4 linked regions of the Pelodiscus sinensis genome follow. Each later gene encodes a partner of the first gene's protein in a complex. Links are inferred from orthologs where the notes say so. Each region holds a gene or a part of one and is shown on either strand. Other genes may lie near its edges.

Region 1 (8,000 bases):
AGGGCTTGGGGCTTCCCTCCCCCACTGCAGATGCCGTTTTAAGGCTGGCCCCTAGTGAGGCCAAGAGCCCCGTGTCCAGGGAGAGCGCCCCGCTTTGGCCTGGCCCCGTGCTGTCTGAACACTGCTCACGGGTCTTCCCGGCAGCCGGCCCCGCCCCGTACCAGCCCCGGCTTCCTCTTTCTCCGCAGAGCGGCCAGAGGTCCCCTTGCGCAGCAGCTCGGTGGAACCAGGGCCTGCAGGCGGCTCCCAGCTGTGGGTTTGGCCGGGGCTGGTGTGAGAAGGAAGCCCAGGGCTGGAGGAGACCTCAGGCAGCATTGGCGCCAGCCCCCTGCCCAAAGCAGGACCAACCCCAGCTCCATCAGCCCAGCCGGGGCTGTGTCCAGCTGGGACTTAAACACCTCTAGGGGTGGAGATTCCAGCCCCTCCCTAGGGAACCCAGCCCAGCGCTTCCCCACCCGCCTAGGGAAAGAGTTTTTCCTAATCTCCAACCTAGACTCCCCCATTGCAACTTGAGCCCATTGCTCCTTGTTCTGCCCCCACTGAGAACAGCCTCTCTCCAGCCTCTTTGGAACCCCCTTCCGGGCATTGCAGGCTGCTCTCAAATCCCCCCTCATGCTTCTCTCCTGCAGACTGAACAAACCCAAATCCCTCAGCCTCTCCTCTTAGGTCATGTGCTCCAGCCCCCTTATTATTTTGGTTGCCCTCCGCTGGACCCTCTCCAGTGCATCCACATCCTTTCTATAGTGGGGGGCCCAGAACTGGACACAATACTCCAGATGTGGCCTCACCAGTACAGAATAAAGGGGAATAATCGCTTCTGTGGATCTGCTGTCAATGCTCCTACTAATGCACCCCAATATGCCATTAGCCTTCTTGGCTACAAGGGCGCCCTGTTGACTCATCTCCAGCTTCTCATCCACTGTAACCCCAGGTCCTTTTCGGCTGAACTGCTACTTAGCCAGTCGGTCCCCAGCCTGTAACAAGGCTTGGGATTCTTCCGTCCCAAGTGCAGGACTCTACACTTGTCCTTGTTCAACCTCATCAGATTTCTTTTGGCCTAAGCCTCCAATGTGTGTAGGACACTGTGGCCCTCATCTCTGCCCTCCAGTGTCTCTACCTCTCCCCCAGCTTAGTATCACCTGCAAACATGCTGAGGGTGCAATGCATCCCCTCCTCCAGGTCATTAATGCAGATGTTGAACAAAAGCAGACCTAGAACAGATCCTTGGGGCACTCCGCTAGAAACCGACCGCCAATCTGACATCGAGCCATTGGTCATTACCCGCTGGGTCCGACAAGCTTGCCAGCTTTCCAGCCACCTCTTGCCTGTTCCTCATCACTTTCCTCTCTTCGCAGTGCTTCCAAGCTTGTGTGATGCAAGCTGTCCCTGGGCACCCCGGGGTTACAGCCAGAGAGGAGGGCTGGGGAGCAGGGGCAGGCTGGTGCCCAGGGGCAGACCCTTGACCTGCCCTCCCTTGGACAGCAGGATGCTCAGAGGGTGTCTCAATTTCCCCATGCACAAGGCACTTGGTCAGCTGTTTAGTGCTGGCTGCAGCCTCTGCTGTACTCACAGCACTAGCGCTGGGGTCCTAACAGCCCTCTTCCCTCTAACTGGCTTTATTCCTCCACAGCCAGGCCCAGGTCCTCAGCTGCTGGATGATCCCGGCCTGCATCTGCTGGGAGCGGATGGGCTTCCCCGTCCCAGTGCCTGAGCAGCCGCCCGGCAGACGTGGAACGAGACGCTTCTGGGAGCGGGGAACCTGGGCCGGGGCTACGCTGGTTCCGTGGCTGGCACGCACGAGAGGCGTTCGGGGCTTGGCCATGGGGAGTTGGGGATTGTGGGGGAAGAGTAATGGGCTGACCAAAGCCCCCTCGCAGAATGTATGCAGCTGGGCCAGTGCCAGCCTCCAGCGCTACCCACAGTGCCTTTGCCCACGGGCCAGGGCCTCTCCCGGCTCTGGTCTGCCAACCGAGGAGGGCAGGCGCTATGAGGCGACGTCTCTGCTAGGAAGAGGACTGCGACTCGCCAGCATTGGCTGGGAACAGCTCCATGATGCTGGCGGCCCTTGGCTTGCCTGGGGTGGCCTGATGTGGGCTGACCTAGAGATGAAAGGCTCTTTCTTACCTGTCCCTTACCCAGCTGGCGCTGCATTCCTGTCTCTTCTCTCCTCCCCCCTGCTACTCTGGTTTTTAAAAATCCAGCACTAGCAGTCTGTTTGAAAAGCCCAGCTTCCTGATTGGTTTGAAGTGTAAATGCCCATGAATGGAACTCTCTGGACCGACACGCGTCTGGTCGTTTGTGACATTACATCCTGCCCTACTTCCCTCTGATTTGCTACAGGGCCGCACAACCCCCACAGGTAGGGGCTGGGAAGAGGGTGTCGTTCCTGAAGAGGCTGGAATGAGGCAGGTGAAATTCCTGCATCCCATGACCGGCACTAACCATGCACATAGGACTGGGGAGTTACTTCAGCAAACATCAGGAGTCAAGCCCCCAGGTGTTCGGCAAATTCCAGATATTCTTTGCCTACCTCCCATTCCCATATGCAGCTCCATGGTGCGGAGTGATTTGTCACTTCCCCAATTAAAGTACCTCCCTCTTCCTATTGGAAGGGTGGTGCTGTGCAACAGCTGCAGTGTTCCGCCCCAGAGGCAGCTGCATTTCAGAGGTGTGATCGCTAGTGCAAATCCAGCCCCTAGTGCATGTGAAATGGAAGGCCTGTAGTATCCAGCAGTGCGAGTGGCTTTATGCAGCATCTTTTCCTGATGTCCCACCCAACCATCCTGCAGTTACTTGCACCTGAATAGCAGCTTCTCTCTGGTGGGACACACTGGTGGTAGCTGGGCTGTTGCCAGTGCTTGCTTACTCAGGGTGAGTGTGGCTACAGGCTGCCTGGTTGGCTGAGTATTTTTTTAAGCCTAGAGCTCATTTAATGTCTTGGCTGCTGCAGTCCCTTCCCACCCAGCTGTTCCCACTAGGGCCTGGTTTGATCCTGAAAGCCCCAGTCTGGGGGAAGTGCCAGAGGGAAGGTTACTATGGCAATAGTGCTGCCCGTTCAGGAGGGATGGGGAGCCATGGGGGTAAGGTGTGAGATGGGGGTCCAGCCCCCTCTTGGGTTGGAGGAAAAGCCTAAGGCAGGGGTCTCCAACCTCTTAAAGCAAGAGATCACTTATGAAATGTAAGTGCAACTCAAGGTCTACCAACCACTCTGGCCCCGCCTCCTTTATGCCCCTTCTCTGAAGCCCCGCCCCTACTCCATCCCCCCCCCCCCTTCACTTTCATCAGGCTGGGGCAGGCAATTAGGGTGCCGAAGGGGGTTCTAGGGGCAGGCTCTGGGCGTGCAAGGGTGCTCCGGGCCAGGGCAGGAGCTTAGGGTGCAGGAGGGGGTTCATGACTGGAGTAGAGTTTCAGGGTGTGGGCTTACCACAGGTGGCTCCTGGGCAGTGGTGCAGTGGGGCTAAGGCAGGGTCATCCCTGCCCTGGCCCTGCACCCCTCCCAAAGGTAGCCAGCAAACTCCCTCCATCCCAAACCCTGTAGTGCCCCTCTCTGCTCTGTGGAGACAGGATACAGGGTCGGAGAGGGGGCAACTTGACATCAGCACCCCTCTTCTCCCTCCGCTGCCCTGCATAGAAAGCAGGAGGCTCTCGGGGGTGCAGGTAGGAAGCTGCAAAGCAAAGAGCAGCTGTGCCACAGGCTTGGGGGTGGCGGGGGAGGGAGCTGAAGTGCTGAGCTCGACAATCTCTTGGCCAAACCTGTCAGAGGCGCCAAGCTCCATCAGTAGGTCCCGCTGTACTGGTTGGTGGCCGCTGAGCTAAGGGGTGGGCCCCGGTTTGCAGGCCTAGGTGGGGGAGAGCTTGCTGGACCAGGAGGAAAGTGGGGGAGCTCGGAAGGGAGGAGGCAGGAAGCTGTTTGGGGGATAAGGCAAAGGGTGCACTGGGCCCTAGGGGGAGGGGAGATGGGTGCAGCCTGCTGCAGGCCAAGAACCCACAGCGGTGAGGTGAGGAAACTGATTGATTTCCTCACCAACTGATGGCAGCTGTCACCCCTTCAGCTGCGGTTGCCAAGCCCCAGGCAGGGGGAAAGCATTTCAGGCCAGGTTGGGCCGGGGAGCCTGCTGCCCCCACAGGGCCGGGCTCTGCTGCTGGCACACGGCCGCCGTCCTCTTGTTCTCCACCCTCTTTGGTAGCCCTGCCTTAGCAGGGGTGGCGGGCGAAGGCCCAGCTCGGGAAGGCAAGTCCCTGCCCTTTCAGCAGCCTTCCTCCCCCCACCGCTCCGTGCAGCCCAGCCCAACCGCACGGCTGAGCGGGATCGTTCCTGGCCAGCCAGAGGACTGGGGTTGCCAGGCTTGGCCCCAGTGGGGAGCATAGTCCGTTTGCCTTCCCTTGCCTATGCTACCCACCACCCCCGCTCTGCCCCTGCCATGCTGTGCGACTGGGGACAGGTCCTGATGGCTCGGTGCCTCAGTTTCCCCAGCTTTAACCTTGTTGAGAGCAAGGCCCTGCCACTCCAGGATCCTGTTCCCAGCCCTACCACTGATGCCAAGAGTCCCCGTGGCTCATCCAGGCTTAGCATTTTCGTAGCAGAAGGGACCCCCCCCCTCCGCTCAGCACCCCACAAGTGTCCTACAGCGGAGGGGTGACACCATAAGCCTGGCACTGACCCCTGCCCACGGTGTTCCTGCCTGACCCTGCGCAGGGTCCTCGGCAGGGCGGGAAGCCGCTGAGAAGCAGCCCAGCCAAGCACCCGCCTGACCCAGCCCTGCAGCTGCAGAGGAAGGAGCCTCCCTGACCCCGGCTCCTGGCTGGCAGCCGGAGGCCGCTGCGCTCCCGTGCCTCAGTTTCCCCGCGTGCCGGCTGAGCGCTGCCCCCGCCGGCGGGGAGGGGGAGGGGGCGGGCGGCGGAGCCGGCGGCGCCCCGGGCCCGCTGCCGCCGGGGGAGGGAGGTTCCGTGTGCGGCTCCCCGGCCCGGCCCCGAGAGCCCCGCCCGCCGCTGGGCGGCCCGCTGCCCCAGGGCGGGGCCAGCAGCGGGGCCGGGCCGGGCCGGGGCGCAGTGGGTCCCCGGGCTGCCGCTGGTGCAGCCAGAGCGCAGCCATGGGGCGCATCGAGTGGGCCATGTGGGCTAACGAGCAGGCGCTGGCGTCCGGGCTCAGTGAGTGGGGCGGGGAAGAAGGAAGGGGAGCAGGGGGAGAGGGTAGGGAGGGGAGCTGAGGAGGAAGGGGGGTAGGGAGGGGAGCTGGGGGAGGGGGGAGCAGGAGGATAGGAAGGGGAGCTGGGGGAGGGGGAGCAGGGGGTAGGAAGGGGAGCTGGGGGAGGGGGAGCAAGGGGGTAGGAAGGGGAGCTGAGGAGGAGGGAGGGGAGCTGGGGGTAGGAAGGGGAGCTGAGGAGGAGGGGGGAGCAGGAGGCTAGGAAGGGGAGCTGGGGGAGGGGGGTAGAAAGGGGAGCTGAGGAGGAGGAAGGGGACCTGGGGGTAGGGAGGGGAGCAGGGGTAGGGGGTAGGGAGGGGAGCTGAGGAGGAGGGAGGGGAGCTGGGGGAGGGGGGAGCAGGGGGGTGCTGGTGGACGAGGGCTGGCCTGGTAGGCGCTGGGGAGGGGGGTGCAGGGCTCAAGAGGAGGTTGGAAGTGGCTGCCTGCCTGTCCCAGGATCATTGGCACTGGGGGGCCAAGGGAAGGCTCCTCTCTGGGTCGTGGGGTCTGAGCAAAGCCCACCCCTCACAGGTCCCAAATTGCAAGATCCTCGCTGAAGACTCCCCACCCCCCGCCCGGGGGGCCTGGGCAGCAGGGGCCGCAGGGCAGCGCTGGCCATTCGGGCAGTGGTTGGGCCAGGGTTGAGGAAGTGAAAGACTGAAATGGGGAAGGAAACAGCGGGGCTGTTTTTCTCTGAGGCCTCTTGCTTAAGGAGGCGCTGCCATTGGCCTGATAGCATCTGGTAATAACAGGGCCACGAAAACTCCCACCGCAGGGTGGGTTCGCTGCTTGCGCCACCAGCTTCGCTTCTGTAGCGACACCGGAGTGCACGGGGCCCTGTTCACACCAGGGAGCTGTGCTGCTTTGTACCGTGCCGCCCCCCGTGCGAAGGCCGTTACCCCCGTCTAAAGCGCTTGCAACTAGGATCGTGCAGGAAGGGAAATAAATATCCGCACACAGGGCTGACAGCGTCCACGCGGCCTCCCCCAGGGACATAGCGACTCTGCAACAGGGAGCCAGGCCTCCGCTTGACCCACAGCTCTGCCGCTGGGAAGAGTTTGTGCAGGCGTCTCTTCTTCCAGAGAAGGAGCTAGGATCCCCCATGGATTTGTGACATGCAGGTCCCTCTCCCCCGCCCCAGCCATGACCTGGTTGCAAACTTTGCTTTAGCTGGCATCCAGCGAGGAAAATCTCTCGATTGTAGCCGGTTGTGTCGCTGGGACTCGCCGACGCTGGAATCAGGACACAGTGGGTGTTGCGGGGGCGGGGCTGGCGGGAAGAGAGGAATGAGATGGCAGGAAGGGAGCCTTTTGCTGCTTGTGACTGGGCGTTGGTACCGTCAGGTGACTGTCACCACCGGGTGACATGGTGACAGGGGGCAACCTGGAGTCTGCCGGAGTTCTAGGTGTGGCCCGTGAGACCTTTTGTTACCCATGCCTGTGCGCAGGGTTGCCAGATTCCACTGGTTTTCCATCCACAGTTGTTTTTTTCTACTTCTTTAGTCTGGCGCTCTCTGGTCCAGCAGCATCCGTGGTCCGGCATGACTTTAGTTGTCCACTTATCGTGGGTGTGGCCAAGTTTCCCGCGGTCCCATAAAGTTGGGCTGTGCTGTGATTTAGCTCTGATTTACCCCTCAGTGTCTTCTCAGAGCCCAGCAAGCAGTGGCAGGGCTGGTCATGCTGCCAGACAATACTGACCTCCTGGCAGACTCTCTGGTTCGGCACCTGTATTCTCTGGTTGGGACTAGGGAGGTTCCACCTGTATTACTAAAGTGACGCGCATGTAAAGCAAGGAGGTGTGAAGTGAGGTGTGCGCTGATTGGCTGTGCGCTCCCTCTGCGTCCAATCACAGCGCCGCTACGGTTCAGTCGGCACCGCCCACACGTTTTAGGTACGCCAGCGCAGGGAGTAAAACCGCCCTCGCCCGGGACACTGGGTTGGGTGCAACATCTTGCAGCGCCCTGAGATGGCGGATGCTGCTTGTGCGGCTGGCTCGCTAGCCTGGGTGGCCCATCGCTGCATTGCGGCCTAGTTCCTATGGACAGCTGGTCGTCTCCGAATCCACCCTCAGCCTGGCCCCCTTGCTGGCAGTGAGGGTTCAGACTGGTAGCCCGAAATACTGTCCCTTGGGCGTGAAATTCGGGGCCTACTGAAGTCGTTGGCAAAACTCCTGCTGGCTTGGATGGCTCTGGGCTATTGGCGGCGGGCGGAACGGCAGGCGTGTCGTCTGGCCATAGCAGTGTGTCTGAACAACAAGGGGGTGCCATGCGCTAGCCCCCCCGGTACATTCTGCGGCACCTCCCTCATGCTGCGGCCACGCTGCTATTTTCACTGAGCTGGCTCCCTCTAAGCTAGCCACCGCCGCCCACTGTGGGACGCTCCCCCATTGCAGGGTGGACCTACCCTGGCTCTCCTGCCAGCTCTGCAATGGGGACGCGCGCAGAGCGAGGGAGCTGGGGAGAAACAGGCCAGCACCTGCCGGAAGCGCAAACCCGCAAATGGCCGGTTTATAAACGGGAATGTGCAACGCTGTAAGCAAAACGCGCAGCTGCTGGCAAGTCCTATGCCCGTGCCCAAGCGTTAGCAATCGCCCGCCTGGATCGGGGTGGGTCCGGCAGGTCTGGGAACCTGTCCCAACGCCAGCGGCTTTTGGCCAGACGCAAGGCATGGATGGACCAGGCTGTCTGGTGAGAAGGCTCCTCCATCCATCACGTAGCATCCGACCTGTGGCCCGAGGCAGGCGCGGTCGTAGCACTTGGAACCCTTACCCGTGCCAGCTGGGGAGCTGCCTAATTAGTGATTGGCGCCTAATTAGTGTG
Region 2 (7,778 bases), on another chromosome or scaffold:
CTGGTCTGCTGGAGACGGTCCCCAGCAGACCAGGGGCACTGCGAGCAAAGCCGCAGCGGCGGCGGGTCCCGTGCCAGAGCAAAGCCTCAGAGGCGCGGCACCCCGCTGCGGCTTTGCTCCCCGTGTCCCTGGTCTGCTGGGGGGGGGGGCGCAGCTAGTGTGCCCCCCCCCCCCCCCCCAGCAGACCAGGCTTTTGTTGTGGACCCTGGGGCAGAGCAGCTGGGGCGCTGCCGGTTGGTCCCGCAGTGCCGCTCTGGGCACTACTGGACCAACCCGGCAGCACCCCAGCTGCTCTGCCCCAGGCGTCCTGATTCAGCCGCTGCTGGTCAGTTTCAGCAGCGGCTGAATCCGGACGCCTGGGGCAGAGCAGCTGGGGTGCTGCTGGGTTGCTCCAGTAGCGCCGAGGAACGGCGCTACTGGAGCAACCCAGCAGCACCCCAGCTGCTCTGCCCCAGGTGTCCCCAAGTCAGCCGTTGCTGAAACTGACCAGCAGCGGCTGAATCAGCAGCTGATCAGTTTCAGCAGCAGCTGACTTGGGGTTCTTAAGCTGAATCTGTATGTAAGTCAGAACTGGCGGTCAGTTTCAGCAGCGGCTGAATCTGGACGCCAGTTCCGACTTACATACAGATTCAACTTAAGAACAAACCTACAGTCCCTATCTTGTATGTAACCCGGGGACTGCCTGTATTTCAAAATACAGGCTGTCTTTGATATAAGTCCAAGATATATTCCAAAAAACTTGGACTTATAAATAACTTAAAACGGATTTTTTTCCCCTATGGCTGACTTACATTTGCAGAAAAAAAATGTACGCGACTTAAGAGCAGGGAATTGGAGGACTTATAATGCATCAGTTCCTACAAGTGTCAATGACTTTAGTGCAGAACAAATGTATACTGGAGCAACTTACAGTGGAGATGCCTTGTAACTACAGGCAGTCCCCGGGTTACGTACAAGATAGGGACTGTAGGTTTGTTCTTAAGTTGAATTTGTATGTAAGTCGGAACTGGCGTCCAGATTCAGCCGCTGTTGAAACTGACCAGCAGCGGCTGAACTGGACATGCCTGGGGCAGAGCAGCTGGGGTGCTGCTGGGTTGGTCCCACAGCGCCGCTGCTCGGCGCTACTGGACCAAACCGGCAGCACCCCAGCTGCTCTATCCCAGGCGTCGGCGAGTAAAGCCTGGTCTGCTGGGGGTGGGGTGCACTAGCTGCGCCCCCCCCCCAGCAGACCAGGGAGACGCGGGGTGGCTTTTCTCGCCGCGGAGGACGTGGGCGGCGGGACCACAGTGCGTCTCGGCGGTCCCGTCACCCACGTCCTCCGTGGCAAGAAAAGCCGCTCTGCATCTTCCTGGTCCGCTGGGGGGGGGGGGCGCTAGCTCCGCGTCTCCCTGGTCTGCTGGGGGGAAGCGCCCCCCGCGCCGCCAGAGGCGGCGACAGTGGGGGAGGCACCCCGCACTAGCGCGGCCCCCCCCGGTTTGTAACTAGGGGTCCGACGTAAGTTGGACCGACGTAACCCGAGGACTGCCTGTATTCCCCAGAATAATTCAAAGTTATTACCCCCCAGTGCTTCTAAGTTGAGGTAGCATGTCCACAATAATGGAGCCTGCCTCAGACTAATTTTGAGGCTCCCCCACAGCAAGGATGTGCTATTTTGACTTTGTTATTTTGGGAATTATTACTTTGAATTTAGTTATTTCAAAATAATTTCCTAGTGTAGACATGCCCTTAATGGCCTGGTCAGTGCTGCTGACCGGAGCCACCAGGATCCCTTTTTTACTGTTGTTCCAGTTGAAAATCAGATACATGGCAACTCTACTTCCTTTAGCCTGTTATCTGATCCTGAGGTTTGGAGCATATTGTCAGTCTCTGGGTGTGTCTAGACTACATGCCTCTGCCGACAGAGGCATGTAAATTAGACATACCAACATAGTCAATGAAGCAGGGATTTAAATAGCCCCCACTTCATTAGAATAAAAATGGCCACCTGCTCAGCTGTTTGTCGGCACAAAGCAGCAGTCTAGACGGGGTTGGTTGGCAAAGGCTTTCCTTGCTGACCGATCCCCGTCTTGACTGCCGCTTTGTGCCGACAAACAGCTGAGCTGGCACAACGCGGTGGCCATTTTTATTCTAATGAAGCGGGGGATATTTAAATCCCCACTTCATTGACTATGTCAGTATGTTTAATTTATAGGCATGTAGTCTAGTCATACCCTGTGAATCTAACCCTTCAGTCTGTCCCCTTGGCCCATCGCTCACTTTTCTGATCCTCAGGACAAAAAACTTGTCTAAAAAGACCAGTATAAATTTACAGCACTGTATTATTTATTTCTATGTTTGAAAATCTTGTTTGTATTTTATAAAACATAGAATTGCAAGAATAAAGTAAATAACAGGGGTATAGAGATAGTACAGTTTGTTAACAATCCCTAAAGTACCTAAAGGAATATATATATAAAAAAACAACTGTAAGCAACTGCCTTGTACAGTATTCATAGGATACTTAGCTTAAGGGAGAAATTCAGCTATAATTTCAAATGCATCACTTTACAAATACATGTTAAAAAGATGGAATGGATCTGTGGTTTTCTATTATATATGGAAACCATCCAAAACTGAATTATTATTTTAATATCTTAAGTTATATATATGTCTAAAACTTTTCTGGTATAAATATTTGAATACACAGTTAAATAATTTAACTATTTATAGAGGTATTTATAGATGTAAGGCACATTGAAAAGAAGATGTGGTTAAAGATGTGGTTTCGGTTGCCTTCTAACAGGACATGAGAACATCGTATTTTAATTTTATATATATATATATATATATATATATATGTTTTAAAAATTATATTTTAAATAGAGAGGTGAGGTAAAATATTTTTAAATACATAAATAAATAAATAAATTAAATTAAATTAAATTATAATGGCTATACTAGGTCAGCTCACTGTCCATCTAGCCCCATATCCTGTCTTCCACCATTGGCTAATGCCAGGTGCCCCAGAGGGAATGAACAGAACAGGTAGTCATCAAATGATTCATCCACTCTCACCCATTCCCAGCTTCTGGCAAACAGAGGTTAGGGACACTATCCCTGCCCATCTTGGATAATAGCCATTGATGGACCTATCCTCCATGAATTTATCTATCTCTTTTTTGAACTCTGTTATAGTCTTGGCCTTCACAAAATCCTCTGGCAAAGAGTTCCACAGGTTGACTGAATGGTGTGTGAAGTACTTCCTTTTGTTTTAAAACAACAAGAAGTCCTGTGGTACCTTAGAGACTAACAAATAAGTTATATCATGAGCTTTCGTGGTTGTCATGACATAATATATTTGTTAATCTCTAAGTTGCCACAGGACTGCTTGCTGTTTTTAAAGATTAACACAGTTACTCCTCTGAGACATTTTTCCTTTTCTTCAGACTCGCTACCTATTCATTTCATTTGGTGACCTTTAGCTTTTGTATTATGGGATGGAATAAATAACTCTTTTAATTCACTTTTTCCACACCAGTCATATTTTATAGATCATGTCCCTCCTCCCCCCATCATCTCTTTTTCAAGCTGAAAAGTCCCAGTCTTATTAATCACTCTTTCATATGGCAGCTGTTCCATGCCCCTAATAATTTTTGTTGCCCTTGTCTGAACTGAACTTGTAACAGATGTTTAAAAGGAGAAAAAGGTAATGTGATAAGGTCTCTGGTGCTGACTTTGTGGCTTTATGTTGTAGTATGACACGTCCATGTCACACCCTAATGTCACCAGGTTGCATTTTGTTCCTGAGGTACCAATGAGATATCTTGAGGCTCAGTGTTAAAGGGACTCCCCGAGGGCCTCCCTGACAGGTAGGCACCATGGTGACTTATAGCCCTACATCAGGCTATGACACCATCTCTCGACAGCCCGAGGGAAGCGGGATTAGGGTTTGAGTGGGATGGCCTCACGCTGAGGTACGACGCCCTGCCTCTGACGTGGTGACTTTAGCAGGACCCCGTGTCACAGGACGGATTGATACCAATGGTCACACTAAGTCTCCCTCTGCCCATAAGGAGGCTGAGACTTAGGAGGAGAGGCTGAGGGAGTCGGGTCTGTTTAGTCTGCAGAAGAGAAGAGTGAGGGGGGATTTGATAGCAGCCTTCAACTTCCTGAAGGGAGGTTCCAAAGAGGCTGGAGAAAGGCTGTTCACAGTAACGGATGCAGAATGGAGCAATGGTCTCAAGTTGCAGTGGGAGAGGTCCAGGTTAGATATTAGGAAAAACTGTTTCACTAGGAGGGTGGTGAAACACTGGAATGGGTTCCCTAGGGAAGTGGTGGAGTCTCCATCCCTAGAGGTGTTTACGTCTCGGCTTGACAAAGCCCTGGCCGGGTTGATTGAGTCGGGATTGGTCCTGCCTTGGGCAGGGGGCTGGACTGATGCCCCCCTGAGGTCTCTTCCAGCCCTATGGTTCTATGATTCTATAAGGACAAGAACAGGAGCGAGAGGCCAGTTCATCACCCCCTCCCCCCCCCCCCAGGTTCCCGGACTAGGTTAGTAGCACAAGTATGGACACCCCCCAGCCTGAGGTAACGGACACGGAGCCGAGCCCCTTTCACGTCCGAACAGTGCCGAAGATGACCGAAGCCAAGCCCAGCCCGCTGTGAGTCACGTGTTGCCGAACGTTAACGAAGTCGCGGCTGTCGCGGGGAACGAGAGCCCGAGCTTTTCCGAACGGCTCCGAAGCCGCCTGGCCGGCCGGGCGGGGCAGTTGGGGGGGGGCTGAGCACAGCGAGGCCGGATGTGAGCGGGGCGGTCGCTTCCTGTTTCCCTGCAGCACTCCGCTCTCCCCGCTTTGGGTGGTGGCCGCTGCCTCGTCCCCGCTTCCAGGCGCTGAGGGCGGAGGCGGCCAGACGCTGGTGCAGACACGCGGGCCCCTCGCCTCACGGACCTTCCCAGCCAGGTAGAAGCAGGAGGCGCGGAGACCCGGCCCCGCAGCAGCCCCGATGCAGGCCATCAAGTGTGTGGTGGTGGGAGACGGGTAAGTTCGGCCGGCTGCTGCTTCTCCCCGGGTGGGACCCGACCACACCCGCCTTCCCGCTCCGCGAGGGGCTGCCCCAGTTTCTCTGAAGTCCCCTCGCATCCAGTGGCCGGGGCGGGCCTCTCGTCTGGGCTCCGTCCCCCGCCGTCCGTGGGTGGCCGGATGGGCCTCTCTCTTCTCCCCGGGGATATGTTCCCCTTCCTCCGTGGGGTGTCGGGGCGGGCCTCTCTTCCCCCGGGGTATGTTCTCACTTTCCTCGGGTGGCCGAAGCGGGCCTCCCCAGGCGTCCGTCCCCCGCGTGGGGTGGCTGGGCGGGACACTCCCTCTCTCTCTCTCCCTGGGTGGCCCGGCTCCACTATTGTTTCTCCCCCCGTCACACACAGAAAACAAACTTTTCACCCACAGCTACAACACCATTCCTCAGGGCTCCCTGTTGGGGACGGGCAGCGCGTATAGGGTCCTCTGAAGTAGGCGCTGTTATAAATAACTGCAACAAATGGATTAATCCCCACCCTGGTACTGGAGGACATTGATATTAAGTGCTTCTCCCATCCCCAATTGTGTGAGAGTGTGGGTGGGGTGCTCTGCCGGAGTGTAGGCAGCAGCAAGTTATTTCAGGGCTGTGGAGCCATGTGGTGAGATTTGTATTGCAGTTGCTGTAGAAGCAGAGCCACCAGGGAAGGGGATCTGTGGAGGGTTGGTGGTTCTTCTATTCCTATTGGCAAATGGGGAGCGGTGGAAGAAATGGGTACGGCGATGGCTTCGTTATTGCTAAGAAACATAAGGGTGTTGGTGATTGGTGGATGCCCTAGAGCTCTTGTTTTATGTGGTGAATGGACAGGTATCTCAAATGTGGATGGTAAGTGATGACTTGTTGCTTAGTTTTCATGCTTACAAAACTAGTGTCTTTCTGTGTACATGAGGATATGTACTCCTTTTATATGCTGGCAAAGAGATAGTTAACTTCCCCAAGTTATTGTAGCTATCCACTTTGCTGACTGGTTCAAAACTGCAATTGGTTTAGTAGTGGACACAATTGTTTCCCCTGATACCTAATTATATTTGTGATGTTTAATTCAAACAGTTCTTTCCTACTTTGAAGTTATATAGTAAAGGTACTGTTGAAGTAACTGAACATAAAACTTACCCTTTTATCTCTCTCCTTTAGAAAGACTTCATTAGAGTAGTGATAAACATGGGTAGGGTTAGTCGGTGTTTTGATAGATCTGTGTCTTTATTGTTAAAGATTAAAATGTAGATTACAAATTCAGTGTAAATTGCCATCTCTGCAGGGCAAGGACTGTATCTTACTATGTTAGTAAAGTAGGAGCCTGTAGGTATTTATTCTAATGCAAAAACCTCTCAAACTGTCATGTTTTAATCGTCTGTAAAGAACTATGTGCATCTCTAGTGCTTTTGCATTCCCTGCTATAATTGAAGTAACTTTTAGTTATTTGTAATGGAATTGAGCCTGAGTTTATGCATAACTGCTGGATTCCTTTGTAAAGAACATGTTAGAAGGCGTGTGTGTGTTTAGGTACTTTGATATTTTAGTACTCCATGATAAAATAGGCTTAGTAAAGGGAAGCTCTTCCCCCTATTTTGGAATATTTTTTTCTTACTAGGTATCAGAGCTCTCAGAGCATCACAGGCCAGCTGGAAAACAAGACTCGTTTTATGCAGTTTCATTTTTTTTCCTTGGGAAACAAACATTCCAGTGTAATCTAAGCATAATTGGGCATCACAGCAACCCAGTGTAGATAGATTGAGGAGTGTAAGTACAGCTAGAAGAAATCACCGTCAGCCCCATGTAATTTAGTGTTGTTTTCATCATATTACTTTGCAATGAATAGTCTTCATTAATATTTAATTATTTGTTAAACTTATTTTAAACAATGTTGAATTTCAAAATTCATGTGAGATACCTGGCTTGCTCTTACTGCTTATGGTACGCAAGAATGATGTTCTGACAGACTTTATTAGTGCTGCAATTAATTGATGCTGGCTTTCACTTATCTTAAATTGCTATAATGAAAGAGTAAAATAACTTTAATTTTTAAATTAACATCTTAGTTCTTTGCCTATATTTACTTTATTAAAATGAATATCTTGTCTGCATTAAATGTTCTGAAAGAATGAAGTCTGTCTGGTTTCAAAATAAGAATAAGATAAATTCATGAAGGATTGGTCTATAAATTGCTTAGCCAAGATGGTCAGTGTGCAACTGCATTTTGCATACCTTTTTTCTGGGTTTTTTTTGGGGGGGGGGAGAGAGGCTTTTCCAAAATTTGGCCTGTTTACACTGGGCCAAATTTCAGAAAATCCCCCTTTTTCAGAAGATCCCTTCTTCGTCCTAAAATGAGGAAGAGAGGGCTCCCAAAAGATCGTGTTTGCTCTTCTGCAAAAAAAAAATAAAAAAATAAAAAAAAATGAAGGCGCGAATGCGTTCTCTGGATGTAGCAGAAGTATCCTGGAAAAACCCCGCAGTCTAGATGTACCCTCACCCTACCACTGCCAGAAGACAGGAATGTATCACTCCAGAACTTCTCCATTCCGTACATGCTTTCTGAAGCTCTGGTCCTGGCCACTGTTGGAGGTAGGATACAAGTCTAGATGGACCATTGGTCTGATCAAGTACATCAGCTATTATGTTGTTGTTTTTAGAGGAAACAGGTGTAACAAACTATACACACATTCTTCGTAATAATTTACACACTAACCATAACAATACTTTCAAAATTTGTGGTTTTGTATAAGAGG
Region 3 (7,949 bases), on another chromosome or scaffold:
CCGCCTCCCATGGGTCACTAAGCTGTGGAGATAATAAAGCAAGGCCTTGATGAGCCTGTCCACATTCCTTCCTCTTCCTTTTAGCTTCTTCCTCAAACTCTGTGAGAGGAACAAGACGTGTACCTCACTCACATACAGGGCAGCAAACCCTGGCCAAGAGCACCCCGTGGTGGCTAGAGAAAGGCAGAAGGCAAAGCACAGCTGGCTGACGATACTAGGTTGTAAGCCTTTTTCGCCTGTGGGCCTCCAAACTCCAGGCAACTGTGTTAGTAGGTCTCCAGACAGTGGATGCCACCAGTTTCTCCTAGTTGAGTGTTGGCCTGTCTTAACACTGCAGTGCTTGACTTTGCAACCTTAATGGTCTTCTAGCAGATTTTTCAGGATGTAATATGCTAAGTTTTTTCAACATTTAAAAGCCAATAATTTCATCCCATGGAACTGCATTGGCTTCCGTCCCCACCACCTGCTCTGTCATCAGCAGGGCTGGGATCTTTAGCTCCACAGCCCAGTCCTCCACCCCTGGAATTAATGGCAGCAGCAACAGGCAGTTGTCTTCTCTGTGGACCTGCCACCAGAGGGGGATGGAGACACCTACTTTGTCACAGGGTTTCACAGCTGTTTGCTAGACCAGAGCAGGATGCTGAAACTCTAGACTCCAGGGTTCTGTTGAACTTTCCTGTTCTGCAGAGGAGTGTGCTGGTTGCTTTCCATATTTTCTATTCTTTTGCATATTGGGATGGATAGCAGTGTGGCCAAAACGTGGCCTGTGAATGGTATATGGCAATTTTACCATTAAAATGTGGCTTGTGGAGCCTCACACGCCCAACCCCATTCTCCACCTACCAGACTTAGGGTACGTTTACACAGCAACACTATTCCAAAATAACTTAGCCTATGTCTACACAGAAGGCGGTTATTTCGAAGTAGTGTCAAAATACTGTCAAGCTACAGGACTTCTTACTCCGACTTCTGTAACCCTTATTGTACGAGGAGTAAGGGAAGTAGGAGGAAGAGTGCTCTATGGCGGAATAAGTGATGTGTAGACACTCTCTATTTCGAAATAAGATACACAATTAATGTAGCTCAATTTGCGTAGTTTATTTCGCAGTAAGCCCTGAAATGTAGATGCATCCATTGGGTGTGTCTACTCAACAATGTTATTTCGGAATAACAGCTGTTATTCCAAAATAACTATGTGAGCGTCTACACAGCAATTCCATTATTCCAACTTCTGTAAACCTCATTCTATGAAGAATAACACCTATTTTGAAATAAGGTATGTGAAGATCGGGTATGTCTACACACAATTTTTATTTCAGGAGAAGGATGCAAATAGCTCTGCGTATTTGCAAACTTCCTCCGGGTTTTTTTTCGGAAGATGCTCTTCCGGTATTTACCCATGTCTACATGCGTCCAGATTTCAAAATAAACCCCTATTTTGAAAGACCCCTGTAAAGCTCATTGTAGGAGGAATAAGGGATCTTTTGAAATAGGATTTTATTTAGAAATAGGAGTTTATTTAGAAATTTAGACACATGTAGACGCGGTTAAATACTGGAAGAACGTCTTCCAAAAAAAAGAAAAAACCCTGGAGAAAGTATGCAAATGCGCAATGCTATTTGCACCCTTCTCCCAAAATAAAAATTGTGTGTAGATATACCTGATGCTCCACTTCTGTTATTTCGAAATAGCCCCTCACCAGAGCCACTCTAAGTTATTCCTCCTAGGGCTCTAAATTGAGAGAACACGTCTATATTAGGGAAGCCTGCCTCGGACTAATTTTGAGGCTTCCCTGCAGTGTAGACATGTTATTTTGAAATAAGCTATTTTGTAATAACTATTCTGGAGTAGCTTATTCCAAAATAACTGTGCAGTGTAGACGTAGACATAGTAATTTAGTTGGAGTCGGTCCTGGTTTTGGTAGGGGGCCGGACTTGATGACCTCTTGAGGTCTCTTCCAGCCCTAGGATTCTATGAGACTGGGATGTGGGGAGCTAGGGGCTTCTGCCTTATGGGGAAAGTGGTCTTGGGCCTTCCGCTCTGCAGGAGACACCTGCTGGGGCTTCAGCAGGACTGTGGCTGAAACTGCAAGCCCTGCAGGCCTGTAGCCCCACGCACTGGCTGGCGTGTCCCACAGACACTACTAGCCCTGAGCCCCAGCTGGTGCACCCAGCTCTCACACTTCTGAAGATTTTTGTATGCAGCTAAGAGGTCAGTAAGTTTGGCCAACCCTGTTATATAGCTAGTGAACTGCTATCTCCTTCTCTATTTGGTTTGTTATATTTTCTCTGAATGGCTCATAGCCTGGCCATCCATGGCATGTGCGTGTTTCCCAGATTAAGCTGCTTTCCCCTTTTGTTATATAACCACATCCCTACCAGCCAGCTGAGGGTCCCATGGTTAAGAAGAATGCGGGCTGATTGGGTGGAAGGGAGGCCATCTGCTCAGGAGTGCAAGGCAAATTGGCTGGAAGGAGTCTGTAATGATCTGTGTGTGCTTGCATTTATGCTGTTCTGCCACTAGATGTCTCTGTGGATTGCATAAAGTTCCAGGCAGGGGGTGATCCCTGAAAACCAAGGAGACAAAGCTGGGACTCAAGCTGTGCGGAAGCCTGGTTGTCCTATAGTTGTAACTGACTTGTTTAATAATGTCACCTGTTTAAGATGGACTGATACTCCATATGGTATGAAACCAGCCAAGGAGGCCCTTCAATCCCACAGTGACAGGCAAAATATAAGAACGTAACTGGGACACATAGATCTTCCTTTAGGGAGGGGTTGTCAAACTGTGGGTCAGGATCACATTTTAATGGGGCTGACAAGGCTGGCTTAGACTGGCTGGGCCCCACGGCTGAAGCAGAAGCCCTTAGGCTTTGGCTCCCCATGTGGAGTGGTGAGACTTGGGCAAGCTCAGGCTTTCATCTCTGCTCTGGGGGTTGTGCAGTAATTTTTGTTGTTAGAAGGAGGTTGCAGTGCAATGAAGTTTGAGAGCCCCTAGTGTAGGGGAAAGGAGATGAATAGGACTTTTCAGGCTGGGGCACCTCTTCTTCCTCCATCAAGGGCTGTGCCTGCTGGTCCCCTACTTGTATATCTGAACATATATGGCTACATCTACACAGCTTCCCTCTTCTGCAAAAGCCTATGCAAATGAATCGCAGATTAGCATATTGCTGTGCTTCATTTGCATAATTAATTAGGAGCCGTTTTTGCAGAAGAGGTTTTTGCGCAAGAGCCGTTCTTCCTCATTTTTTCAAGAAGAATGGCTCTTGCACAAGAGGGGGGTTTTGTGCAAAAAGGTGCTGTGTACATGGTGCCTTTTTGTGCAAAAACAGTGCCTAATTAATTATGCAAATGAAGAGGGGCAATATGCTAATCTATGCTTCATTTGCATAAGCTTTTGCAGAAGAGGGAAGCTGTATAGATGTAGCCTGTGTGTTGTTTCTTCACAGCACCAATCTGGGCAGGAGTGGAGAGCGGGGAAAGGTCTTCTAGAGGCAGAAGCCATGCAGAGGGAGAAGCAGAGTAGCAGCAGAGATAATGCTGCTTTCCTGATTCTAAGAAAGTTCCTTGTTCAGCTGTCTCTGAGTTTATTGCTCACACCTGACACCAGGAAGGCTGGGAGGCCCTGCAACAAATCAGTCAGGAGCCCACTCCTCTTCTGCACTCATAGCAGATTGCCCTGCCTAGGGAGTGCTCACTGCACCTGCCTGAAAGAAAGGGGGCTCTGGGGAAGCCGGAATGCAAAGGGGACCCCTCCCTTTGCAAAGATGAGTGAGTGTTGTCCCCTCCTTCTCCTCCTTAATGTAACCCCTGACTGGAAGCAGCACAGCACCCCCTGCTGCTCAAAGGGGGACAGAAGGTGTAGAAAAAATTGCTTAGGTCATCAGGACATGAAACTGGTTTTTAAACTGCAGGTGCATTAGGGCTGCCAGGTGTCTGGTTTGCAGCTGGGATGTATAGTTGAGAAGGGAACCTGGCAGCGTGCCGTCCGCAACTGGCCTCCACCACGGGAGAGGGGATATGGAAAAAGCAGCAGCTGCAGCCGGAGGCACATGGAGGCGCTGCTCTCTGCTCAGTAGCTGATGCCTGATAGAGAGCAGTGGCAGGCTTCCAGATCTGGCTCCAAGAAGTAGAGGAGGATCCGGTCTGCTCACCCCTCCCTCCCCCAACTGTTACTTGCATAAAATGTGGTCAGCCTCACACTCTAGGGACACCCACTCTTCTCTGTTTCTATGGCTCAAGAATTACCTTCCACTATAGGCACCCACCCTCAGCCTTCCATGGGCTCCGGCATAACCTAACACTCTGTGGGTTCGCAGGGTCTTTTATCCATGGAAGAGCCTCACACAGTACTATCCTATTTAACAGTCCTACAGTAAGACAGATCAACTTTTCCTGTTGGCCAAGCAGGATCAGGTCCGAAGCTCCCCCTAAGCAGCGCAGCTGTGCACTTTCTCGTTAAGCCCCACTCATATCCCACTATTTTAATGTAATTTGGGCGGAATGAGGATGCGACTTCCTGCGTCTTAGTTAATGGCTGCTGCTCTTTCCATCTGGCTGCAGATGAGGGCTGTAGGCTTTAGGCCTTACAACATGGCTACAGAAAAAGGCCTTGTTCTTACATTTACACTGCCCTGCTGTGCCCTCATTGCCCTGGCCCCTCACTATGGGGATGATCCCTGCTGAGCCCCAGGCAGGCTGCATTTTAGCTTCTCCCAATCTCACTCTGCGAGCAGCAGGTAAGTCCCAGAAGAGGTGGGACTGGGGTGGGGAGTGGAGAGTGAGTGGTAGAGGGAGGCGGAAGAGCAGTGAGCAGGGGCGGGGTCTCAGGAAGAGGAGGGGCGGGGCTTTAGGGAAAGAGGTGGGGCAAGCAATTAAAAAGTCGGCAGTCTTAACACTAGCACAGGCCCCGCCTTTTTTTAGCTGTAGCCTGAACTACTGGGTGGAGGGGGGACTGACGTGGAGGGTTAAGTAACATTCTATCTATCTTCCACTTCCTCCCTCCTCACAATCTGCTGCTTCCTTCACGCTAGGTTTGACATTACATTTGTACAGGTCTTTCCTCTGGTCACCTGAGAGCATTAAGTCTGCCTGACTTCTCCTGCCCCAGGAGCCATCCTCCTCCGTGAGGCCTGAGAAATGCAGGCCATCAAGTGTGTGGTGGTGGGAGATGGGTATGTACCTTCTTTTGTGGTGGAGGGGGGCAAGAAGGGGGAAGGTTGGTTCTTAGTGAAATGTCACCTTCTTTGCTTTCGATTTCCTCTGAACGGCTTTCCCTTTTTCTGTCAGGTAGGGTGTATGGGGGGAGGGGAGGGGGCAGCCTGTGATGGAGGTTGTGCATTATGTCGGGGTTGGGGAAGGGCACTTTTCAGAGCAGGTGGAAAAGAGCCGCTGAAAGACAACCTATGTGGCTATTCTCCCCTAGATGAAGGTGCCCCCTTTACAGTGTCTCCTCCTCTGCGGCTATTGATGGTGGAAGGGGAGCCAGGTTTAAAATAAGGTGGGGGAGACTAGTTTCCCTTCTACTGGGCCACACCACACATGACTGGGGAGGGCACCGACACATGGTGGCAGTGGTGAATGGAGAGCGCTGTGGGTCCCCTCCTGTGGATCTGAGTTCCCATGCCTTCTCTAAGGGGGGGGGGGGTCCAAGGGGGCACTCCGGGGAATTTCCATGGATACAGCAGCAAGATGTTCCTTTCCCTTTTGCCGCTGAGGGGCACAATGTGCTCCGTCTGCCTGGGCTGTGCGAGGCGATGAAACCCAGGCAGCTGAGCATAGCATAATCACCTGATTTATCCACTGCTTGGGCAGCATGTATGTGGCCTTGCCAAGGCCTTCAAGAGCAGCAGCTTCCTCAGGGCAGTACCCAGAGGGCTGCTGCCCCTGGGCAGGGAAACAAGCATCCAGGGCCCAGGAGAGTGTCTGTGAGACCGGAGTCACGTCTGGCGCTCAGAGTGAAGCCAGTTTCAGGCGGGGAGCTGTTTTGATGATGTTATCTGGGGCAGATGAAGTGACATTGTTAGAGGCCCTGCACCCCACAGTCACTTCCTCCTTCCCACTGGCCACAGGAGGAAGTTTGCAGACAAGTGATTAAATTTTAGAAACCACCTCGGAGGCGGAGGCAGGGGCAGGCAGCAAGGGTGGAGGAAGGGCAGAGAACTACAGTACAAAGAAAACCCCAAACAAATATTGCTATGGGTCAGGAAAGTACCATAAAGATCAGAAACTAAGGATTATGGAGCTGTACCTGAAACAACTCGCACAGGAAACACCCTGGGACTAACCCCACAACTGCCCCCACCTCCTGTCCCTTAACCCTGCTAACCTCCAACACAACAGCAGTATTCTTCCCCAAAGCTCTACCAGCCCAGAGCCCCCTCCAAAACTGCTATCCCCATAAACTCACCATAGCTCAATGGCTGTATCCCCGTAATCAGTCCCCAGCACAATCACCCGTAACTCTCCTTCAGAACTGCTAATTCCATCACTTCCTCCACTACTGGCACTCTGCTAACCTCAGAGCCTCCCCCACACCTCTGCTTTCCCTCCCCTCTGGAGAGCCTCACTGGCCCTATAAACCTCCCATCCCTTTCTGCTGAGAGGCTGGAGCCAGGCATACAGTGATGGAGAGTGTGGGAGAGATTGAGGAAAGGGAGAAGAGAAAGGTAGCAAAAGTAGAAAGGAGGAAATGTACGGGAGAGGCACAAGAGGCACTCCAATTCCTCCTGAGTCTGCACAATGCAGCAATGGGGGCTGTAACCCTGTGACTCATGCCTGCTCTCTCTTGCCCTCCAGGCCACCTTGCAGGGGCAAACACTAGGGCTGGGTAGAAAGTCTTAGAAAGATTTTGTCGATGAAATTGGCATATGCTAAGCAGTGACTCACGTATCCTGTGTGGAGAGAGCAAGCCAGCCTTCCTCCCTTACCTAATAACCAGATCTGATTTCTCATCAGCTTCTTGCAGGACTTCATGGTGCTGCCTCCCACCAGATCAGTATTGTTATCTCCATTTTACTGATGGGGAAACAGAGGCAGGATAAGATTGAATGACTTGCCCTACATCCCTTTAGCTTTCCTTGTTTGTCTTGGCTGTGATTCCTGGTCCTCTCTTTTTTCCTTCATAGTTGGTTCCCTGGCTCTCCACTATATATGGTTGGAAACTTTTCCATGAAACTTTTTTTTTTTTGGACAGAAAATGTCAATGCATTGAGATGGTGTCTCGGGTCCACAATGAAATTTCTGGAGAACATGCCTTGGAGCACTCAGTTTGACTGTGGGGGACACAGGTTTAAATCCCTGCTCTCCTGGCATTTCTTTGTAGTGCCTTTGGCCTGGTCTCTCACACACTAGTTAGTGTCTTCTTCTCGTGATTAGAATGTGTTCCTGTTCTGCCCACCATGGTCCACTGAAAGCTGGGTGGTGGTGGTGCTAGTCACTTCGGAGTGTTTGTCTGCACAGCAAAGAAAAACCTGCTTGCTGTGGGGCTGTTTCATTGCTGTTTAGATAGCTGGAGCCCAGGCTCTGGATTCTGCCACTCTGAAGGATTGTAGAGTCTGGCTCCAGCCTAAGCCCGGAAGCCTACCTAGCAATGAAACAGCCCGACTCAGTGAGCCTGGCATGGGCCAACCACAGGTGTCTAGTTGCTGTGGTGACATACCCTGACATACAGGAAGTCAGAGTAGATGATCTGGTGGCTTTTCTGACCTTAAACCTTATGACTCTGTGAGATGTGCAGAGAAGGAGGGTGAAGAGAACTTTGACTGTCAGGAGCAGCCTCACTGCAGGCAGCCTGGCTCGGAAGTGCCATTTCAGCTGGAAGGAGTGTGTGGTGACTATGAGGCTATGTCTACGCTGCTGGCTTTTGCCGGCAGAGGGTATGCTAATGAAGCGCTCATTAGCAGTGGTTGCACTGTCATTTGCATATTCTCTGCCGATGCTTTTTGCGCA
Region 4 (7,345 bases), on another chromosome or scaffold:
GTTAAAATTCGACACTCTCCAAAAAGGAATGAACAAACACTCGAACTATCTTACCCATTACCAAGATAGCTTCCCCAATTATCACCTCTAATACCATTAACTCACAAACATCCCACTCTCCCCACCTCTAATATCATCAATTCACAGACACTTACCTTCCTTCCTTCTTCCCCCCCCCCCCCCCCGCATCTCCCTCCTGTTCTGAAATGTGATTTGTCCTTTTCATGTGTGTTCATTTTTTTAAATTGTATCCTTTGGTATATATGGTTGTGACTATTTTCTTCCACTATTTGATCTGAGGAAGTGGGTCTGGCCCACGAAAGCTCATCACCTAATAAACCATCTTGTTAGTCTTTAAAGTGCTACATTGTCCTGCATTTTGCTTCTCCTACACTCCTGTGAGTCTACGATCATCCCTAGCAGATAAAACTCATGGCACACAAAGCGCTTAGCGGAAGGTTTCAGTGTCACTGCTCTGCATCCCTCCCCCCTTACCAGTCTGAAAGGTAAAACTACTCAGCTATTGTGTATTGCACTGTGTACACAGAAAACAGCTGCATTCTAGCCCCAGAAGTGGCTGCATTTCAGGAAGGCCACTGTAGCCTACGCTGTCTCACAGGGGTGCTGTGAAGGCTAGGCTACGTCTACACTGGCATGATTTTCTGAAAATGCTTTTAACCGAAAAGTTTTCCGTTAAAAGCATTTTCGGAAAAGCACGTCTAGATTGGCAGGACGCTTTTCCGCAAAAGCACTTTTTGCGGAAAAGCGTCCGTGCCAATCTAGACGCGGTTTTCCGCAAAAAAGCCCCGATCGCCATTTTCGCGATCGGGGCTTTTTTGCAGAAAACAATACTATGCTGTCTACACTGGCCCTTTTGCGCAAAAGTCTTTCGGAAAAAGACTTTTGCCCGAACGGGAGCAACATAGTATTTCCGGAAAAGCACTGATGATTTTACAGGAGATCGTCAGTGCTTTTGCGGAAATTCAAGCGGCCAGTGTAGACAGCTGGCAAGTTTTTCCGCAAAATCGTGTGATTTTGCGGAAAAACTTGCCAGTCTAGACACAGCCCCAGTGTTTGTAGTGGATTTTAGGAAGCAAGATGTTAGCAAATGGAAGTGCCAGGTTTTCTTGAAGTTTACCACCTCATAGAATGAAACAATTACATCAAATCAATTATGTCAAGCAGGTACCACGAGGAAGACACCCGCTCCAGCACTGAAAGTCGAGATGAATACCTACCTGCTGGGGTTGGTCGTTTGCTTAGTTTTTGTTTTAATAGAGGGAAAATGGATGCACTAGGCCAGGCATGGCCAACCCGCAGCTCGCGAGCTGCATGCAGCTCTTCCCCCCCGAAAGTGCTGCTCACGAAGCCGCCCCTGCACCCCTGAAAATGGCCCCCGGCTCCCTGTGCTCTCTGGAGAAGGAAGCCATCGTTCCCTGTGCTCTCTGGATCAGGGGAGCCGTCCAGCATGGCCATTCAAAATGGCATCTTCAAGATGGCGGTGGCCAGTGGGAGCCTTTAAATGCGTTTCTTAAGGGGGCAGTCCTTTTTTTTTCCCCCCAACAACTTGGGGGGAGGGGTGTGGAGGGACTTCTTTTTTTTTTCTTTTCCTCAACTATTTTGCCCTGGCTCTTCGCGCTGTATCCACTGCTATTTTGGCTCTTTGTCCGGAATGGGTTGGCCACCCCTGCATGTACTGTACCTTTCAGATGCTCTCACCTTTCTGTCAGCTGATGTGGCATAAGAAAAGCTGCTGCTCTCATGGATAAAGCTCTGGTCCTTTGGAACGAAAGGTCTTTGTCTCTCGTATTGATTTTATTTCTATTACCGTGGCAGCCAGCAGCGCCAGCTGAGCGCAGGGCCCCAGGCACTAGCAGAGCTAACCACCTACACAAACTGACGGGAGGGGAAGCTGGCAGACAGAAGTGAGGTGAAGCAACTTGACCAGCGTCACAGGGCCCAATAACAAGCTGCTTTGCATGGCGAGCCAGAAGATGGAAGGAACAGTCAGGAGGAAGTAAGCAGCAGCTTCGCTGCCGCTGAGCATTTAAATGTCTATTTTAAACACATTTTAAATGACTCCTGCACAAAAGGCGACCACGGGCCCCACAGAGAAGAGTTTCCACACTCACACGGAGTTTGTTTTCCCACCCCGTTCCTTCGATGCCTCTTCACCCGTGCAAAGGCGCTTTTCCGGAAGCAGGAGATCATAGTCCCCAAGCTGTGCCTGAGTAGATGCTGATGGTGCTGAGCTTGTTACCTAAGAGCCAGAGAGAGAGAGAGAGAGCTTGAGATGCTCTGTATTGTATTTCTGATTACAAATGAGTCACCGTTTCTCAGGAATACAGATTCCCCCGCCACCCACGCAAAAGCAGAAATCAGACAAAAGAATTTCTGACAGGTTTATCCAGGGCTGCATGAGAGTTACTTAGGATGTAGCCACGGTGCTGGAGTTTTAACAACAGTTGCGTTCCCCGATCTCACACTATTTTAGGAAGGAAGGTGAATATAAATATCCCTATTTTAAACATGGGGAAACTCAGGCAGAAAGGGGCAGTCATTTGCCCAAGAATACAGGGCTCCAGTGCCAAGGAAAGTAAGTGGCAGATCTGGGAACAGAGCACAGGTTGCTGGACACCCAGGTTAATATTCTCTGCACTGGTCTGTGCTGCCTCCTGTCAGGTCAATTTAGTGCTCGGAAAAAGGGTCAAATTCACAGCTTTTGAGGACCAAAATCCTCTGCAGGCTGGTTCTTATCTTGTGATGGAAACTGTAGGCCCAAACAGAGCTGGGCCCTGAGCCAGGAAGAATGCAAGGCACAGAAAAGAGAGGAAACGGTTCTTCTCACAGAGAAAGGAGTTGCCGGAGGTTGAACAAAGCCCTCAAAAGATCCAGCCTGTGCTGCTCGTGACAGATAGGGTGGCCAGGTGCACGGTTTTGAACCGGACAGTCTGGTATTTGAGGGTTCTGTCCAGGAAACAAATTGAGAAAATACCGGACGTATAAACTGTCTGGTATTTTCTAATTCGGTACGTTTGATTATTATTAGGCGTATCAGTGTGTAGTTGAGAACTGCCTGGCTGTAGACACGTTCACGCTGCGTGAGTATGTCTACCAGCCAGGCAGTACGAAACTACACGAGGGGGGCGCGGGGCCAGGACGGGAGGGAATCCCCGGGGCCAGACTTGCTCGTACTTCACCGGGACCATGCGCGGGATGGGCAGCGCCCTGGGATCTGCGTGCAACCGGATCAGTCCCGCTCCCTGCTGGCCAATTCTCTCCCCACACTTCCTCCCCGGCCAGCCCCACTCTCCCCACTCCCCTCCCAGCCAGCCCTGCTGGTCCGCCCCTCCTCTGATCTCCCCTGCTTCCCGCCGGCTGGTTCTCCCCCCAATCCTCCTGCACTCCCCTGGCCAGCTCCACTCTCCCTGACCCCCTCCCGGCCAGCCCTACTTCCTCCCCTCTCCGGTCTCCCCCGGCCAGCCCCACTGCCCCCAACCCCGCCAGCCCTGCTTCCCGCTGGCTGGTTCTCCACCTCCTCCCAGCCAGCCTCACTCCCCTCCTGGCCGGTCCCCCTCCCCAATCTGAGATGAAGTGTGTCCGGTATTTTTTTTGGAAGCCACCTGGTAACCCTAGTGACAGAACAAGTGCACTTGAAGCACAGGCCAAAGGAGCGATGGAGTCATGATACTGTGAAAAACCAGCATTAAAGCAGGACAAGAGCAGGAGTTTTAGCATTTTCATTTCTGGGGAGAAGCTGTTGCAGGCTGAGTTCAGCCAAAGTGACAGGCCTGGTCCCACAATTGCTGCAAACACACCTTGGCATTTCAGCCTTGTTTTAAGTCACCTCAGCCTGCTAGATGGGTTGCACTTCCCCTCCCACACCTGGAGGGCAGTGAAGAGGATGCACCCAGCACCAGAGGGCGGCTAGGTGCTGCCCTGGGGAAGCCGTGGGGACATTTCAGGCTGCCTTTCAAGGGGCCCTGGCATTGATGCTCCGATTCCTCCAGGCTGCATTGTCAGTGCGCTGTGACTCAGCCACGACTTCAGGGTCACACTCACTATGACAAGCACAACCCCCCAAGTCACAACCACCCTCTGACAGATGTGCATGACTTCAGCTGAAGATCCCTGCAAAGCAAAGTCGAAAGCAGTGGGGGCGGCCGTGGCGAGGGGGAGAGTGTGTGTGTGTGTGGGGGGGGGGGGGGTAGTTAGAGTGACACACCAAGAATACGTTTAGGAAATAATTCACCCTGGCCAGCATCTGCTCCACTTCCCCATCACAGCAGGGCTGAGTCAGTAACTACCAGTGGGGACACTTCCTGGTTGGTTTGCGACACTGCGGGCTCCGGGGGAAACACAGAAGTACAAGTAAGAGCGGTGCAGAGGGGCAGGGGCAGGGGCAGGCTGTAGAGAGCAAAGCAGGGCTGCAGCAAGGGGAGGCCCGTCCTGACCCCATTGCTGCACCATGGCTCTGGCGGAGACCATCCGACTGTGGAACGAGGGAGTGTGCGCGGCTGACCGGAAGGACTGGGCAGCCGCGCAGGGTGCTTTCACCACAGTGCAGAACCCCCCTTCCAAACTCTGCTTTAACATTGGCTGCATCCACCTGACCCTGGGGAATTTGACTGAGGCAGAGGAGGTAAGAACCCCCCCTCCCTACCCACACACACACACACACACACACACACACTCCTCCTGTCACAGGCCCCTTCCACAGGCTGGTCTGACTGGTGCACCACAAAGCCCAGACGGCAGCTACCGCGCCCCTGACACGCCGAGGGACTGAGGCGGGTGGCTGGCCCCTGGGACGACTTGCAGACAAGCAGGTGCAGCCCCTGGCTTGTGCTGTCGCCTGACGGGCAGCAGGGCCCTCGGCACGACCCCGAGGGGCTGGCGGCAAACTGGCCAGACCGTGTGCAGCGCGGGCGGGGGGGTGCAGGAGAGGGGGCATTCAGTGCCCATTCAGCTACTGCTGGCCTGAGAGTGCATGGGCCTGGTTAGGAAGAGAGGGAGCCGACAATGCCTCCATTTGCCCAGTTCATGCCTTCCGCTCGGCTCAAATTCAGCTGACACATGGGACCCAGCAAGAGCCGGGCAGAAAATGGTTTTCTTGATTCAGAGCAGGGACTTGCTCCCAGCTGTCCAGGCCCCAGCGAGTGCCTTGGGCACCAGGCTATTGGCTGCCCTAGAGCAATGGGGGGTCGGGGAGAGAAATTCCAACGTGGGCCTAGGCGGCCTTTCCAGTTTCCCACTCAGCTCTAGTCTCCACTTGGGGCATCAGAAACACTGGTCAGGGGAAACCCAGCAGGCATGTAACGGAGGGGCAGGCAGGATGTGTGGGGGGGTTCCCCTTGTCTCCCCTCTCTCCATGTTCCCCTTTCTTCTTCACGCTGCCCTCGTGGCTCCCCTCAGCACTGGGAGGGTCTCCCCTCAGCACGTTCCACTGCTCTGCATGGGCACAGGCTCCACCCTGACCTCCCCGTCAGTGTCCAGGTCTCCTCCTGCCTCTCTCGGCCAGTCTGCCTGTGCCAGGTCTGAACCACCTTCTGCTCTCTGCAGGCGTTTTCCAGGAGCATTCACTGCGACAAGCACTTGGCCGTGGCCTATTTCCAGCGGGGGACCGTGTATTACAGGAGAGAAAAGTGAGTGTTTGGCAATCTCCGGTGGGAGGGGGGGGGGGGGTGTCGTGCTGCTTCTAGACAGAGCCATTTCTGGTTCCCGGCTGGCTGAGAGCAGCCATTTGGCAAGGCCGTCCTGTTGTGCTGCCAAAGCTGAGTAACTAGAGCTAGGACTCACCTCCCAAGAGAAGCAGGTTCTCTTAGAGGCGGAGGCCTAGTGGGTGGCGAGTGGGGATGGGAACCTGGGGAATACCCCAGTGCCTTTAAAGACACCCCCAAAAACAAAGACGATGAGCTGGCTAAAGCCTGCAGGGCAGGGCCTGTCTGGCACATTGTACAGCCGCCTAGCGCAGCGACGATGCTGCTCACCCTGGTTGTGGGTTTGGAAAGAGCCTGGATGGAAGGGAGAGGGGGACAGACTTCCAAGCTGGCAAGCAGGCTGGCAAACCGCCATGGACACAGTCACACCAAAAATATCTGACAGCTGAGTCCCTCGAGGCAGAGAACCACTCCAGCTGGCCCCAGGAGTTGGGTAATGGTAAACGGCCATCAGTACTCCACGGGCTGGCGGGGGTCGTCTCCCAGCAACTCAGGCTAGAGCCGGGCTCTGAGGGCGTGAAAGATGGCAGGCAGCCCAGAGCCGTGCCCTGAGAGTTTGCACCTTTCTTTGCTCTACAGCTACAAACTGGCCATTGAGGACTTCAAAGAGGCACTGGCCCAGCTGCGAGGGAACCAGCTGATAGACTACAAGATCCTGGGGCTGCAGTTCCGGCTGTTTGCTTGTGAGGTGAGGGCGTGCAGGGGCTGAGAGTCCCTGAGACAAGCAAGGGCAGCTGGGAAGCGCAGGAGGGGAGGGAATGGGGTTGGAAGCTAACCCAGCATCACTCAGCCAGTGGGTGCCACACACAAGGGGTCACCAGGGGACACAAAGCACAGTGGTAGTGAAAGCAGCAGAATCCCAGGACTCTAGGTACCCATCCCCCATGGGTGGTTGGCAGGTCAAAAAGGGGTTGAGAGAGCCCCTCGCGATAGCCAGTGAGGGCTGGCTGTGGGCACTCAGATCTGGGGAGAGAAGCGGAAGAGCTCTCTGCGGCCTGGTCTTTTCTCTCTCTCAGTCCGGGACGGGTCCCACCACCACCATGAGCCTCCCCCGAGACATCAGCCTCTGTACCCAGATTAGTAGGGGCCTACCAAAATCATGGCTGGGAAACATTCATCATGGGCCATGAAATCTGATCTCCCTCGTGAAATCTGGCTCTGTAGGGGGGACCCCAGAGCTGGGCAGTTGGAGAGCAGCAGCTGCTGATCAATAGCCACAGCCATCCAATCCACAGGACAGTTCGGGATGACCACCCCAGCCCCAAGCTTTGGCCCACAGTGGTTACCCCAACTGTCCTATGGATGGGATGGTCCCCCACATGGACACTAGCCTGAAGGTGGCCTAGGGCGAGCAACAGGGGTCAAGCCCCCCCCCCCCACTCGCGGAAGTGGGGCGATGCAGCCAACAGCCTGCTCTGCTCCATCTCCATCTTGCAGCCATGTGGGTCACTTCACCACGGCGGCAGGAAGCAGAGCCCCCCGCCTGCTCCCCCAGAAGCCCTGTGTCGCTTGAGGGAGCGGGCAGAGGCTGGGGCGCGCTGCTTCCTGCTCCACAGAAGAGCGGAGCAACCTGGCGGGGAGGTGGTGGTGGAGCAGAGCCGGCTGCTGGTTGCGTTGCTCCGTTT

What was found.
Region 2: CYBA (region 1) and RAC1 share a complex: the UniProt entries of both Homo sapiens proteins name them as parts of the phagocyte NADPH oxidase complex. The link is inferred for Pelodiscus sinensis from reciprocal best matches to the Homo sapiens genes CYBA and RAC1.
Region 3: CYBA (region 1) and RAC2 share a complex: the UniProt entries of both Homo sapiens proteins name them as parts of the phagocyte NADPH oxidase complex. The link is inferred for Pelodiscus sinensis from reciprocal best matches to the Homo sapiens genes CYBA and RAC2.
Region 4: CYBA (region 1) and NCF2 share a complex: the UniProt entries of both Homo sapiens proteins name them as parts of the phagocyte NADPH oxidase complex. The link is inferred for Pelodiscus sinensis from reciprocal best matches to the Homo sapiens genes CYBA and NCF2.

What each region holds. Positions count from the first base shown.
Region 1 is NC_134722.1:3,823,937-3,831,936, forward strand, and holds the start of CYBA (cytochrome b-245 light chain), read left to right. Parts: upstream 1-4,987; 5' UTR 4,988-5,090; coding exon 5,091-5,148; intron 5,149-8,000. Other genes in the region: MVD (diphosphomevalonate decarboxylase), read left to right, coding at 1,631-1,711. UniProt on the Homo sapiens protein: Subunit of NADPH oxidase complexes that is required for the NADPH oxidase activity that generates, in various cell types, superoxide from molecular oxygen utilizing NADPH as an electron donor.
Region 2 is NC_134726.1:23,058,040-23,065,817, reverse strand, and holds the start of RAC1 (ras-related C3 botulinum toxin substrate 1), read left to right. Parts: upstream 1-4,776; 5' UTR 4,777-4,983; coding exon 4,984-5,018; intron 5,019-7,778. UniProt on the Homo sapiens protein: Plasma membrane-associated small GTPase which cycles between active GTP-bound and inactive GDP-bound states.
Region 3 is NC_134711.1:92,837,730-92,845,678, forward strand, and holds the start of RAC2 (ras-related C3 botulinum toxin substrate 2), read left to right. Parts: upstream 1-4,938; 5' UTR 4,939-5,138; coding exon 5,139-5,173; intron 5,174-7,949. UniProt on the Homo sapiens protein: Plasma membrane-associated small GTPase which cycles between an active GTP-bound and inactive GDP-bound state.
Region 4 is NC_134719.1:57,237,613-57,244,957, forward strand, and holds the start of NCF2 (neutrophil cytosol factor 2), read left to right. Parts: upstream 1-4,338; 5' UTR 4,339-4,468; coding exon 4,469-4,642; intron 4,643-5,562; coding exon 5,563-5,645; intron 5,646-6,299; coding exon 6,300-6,408; intron 6,409-7,345. UniProt on the Homo sapiens protein: Subunit of the phagocyte NADPH oxidase complex that mediates the transfer of electrons from cytosolic NADPH to O2 to produce the superoxide anion (O2(-)).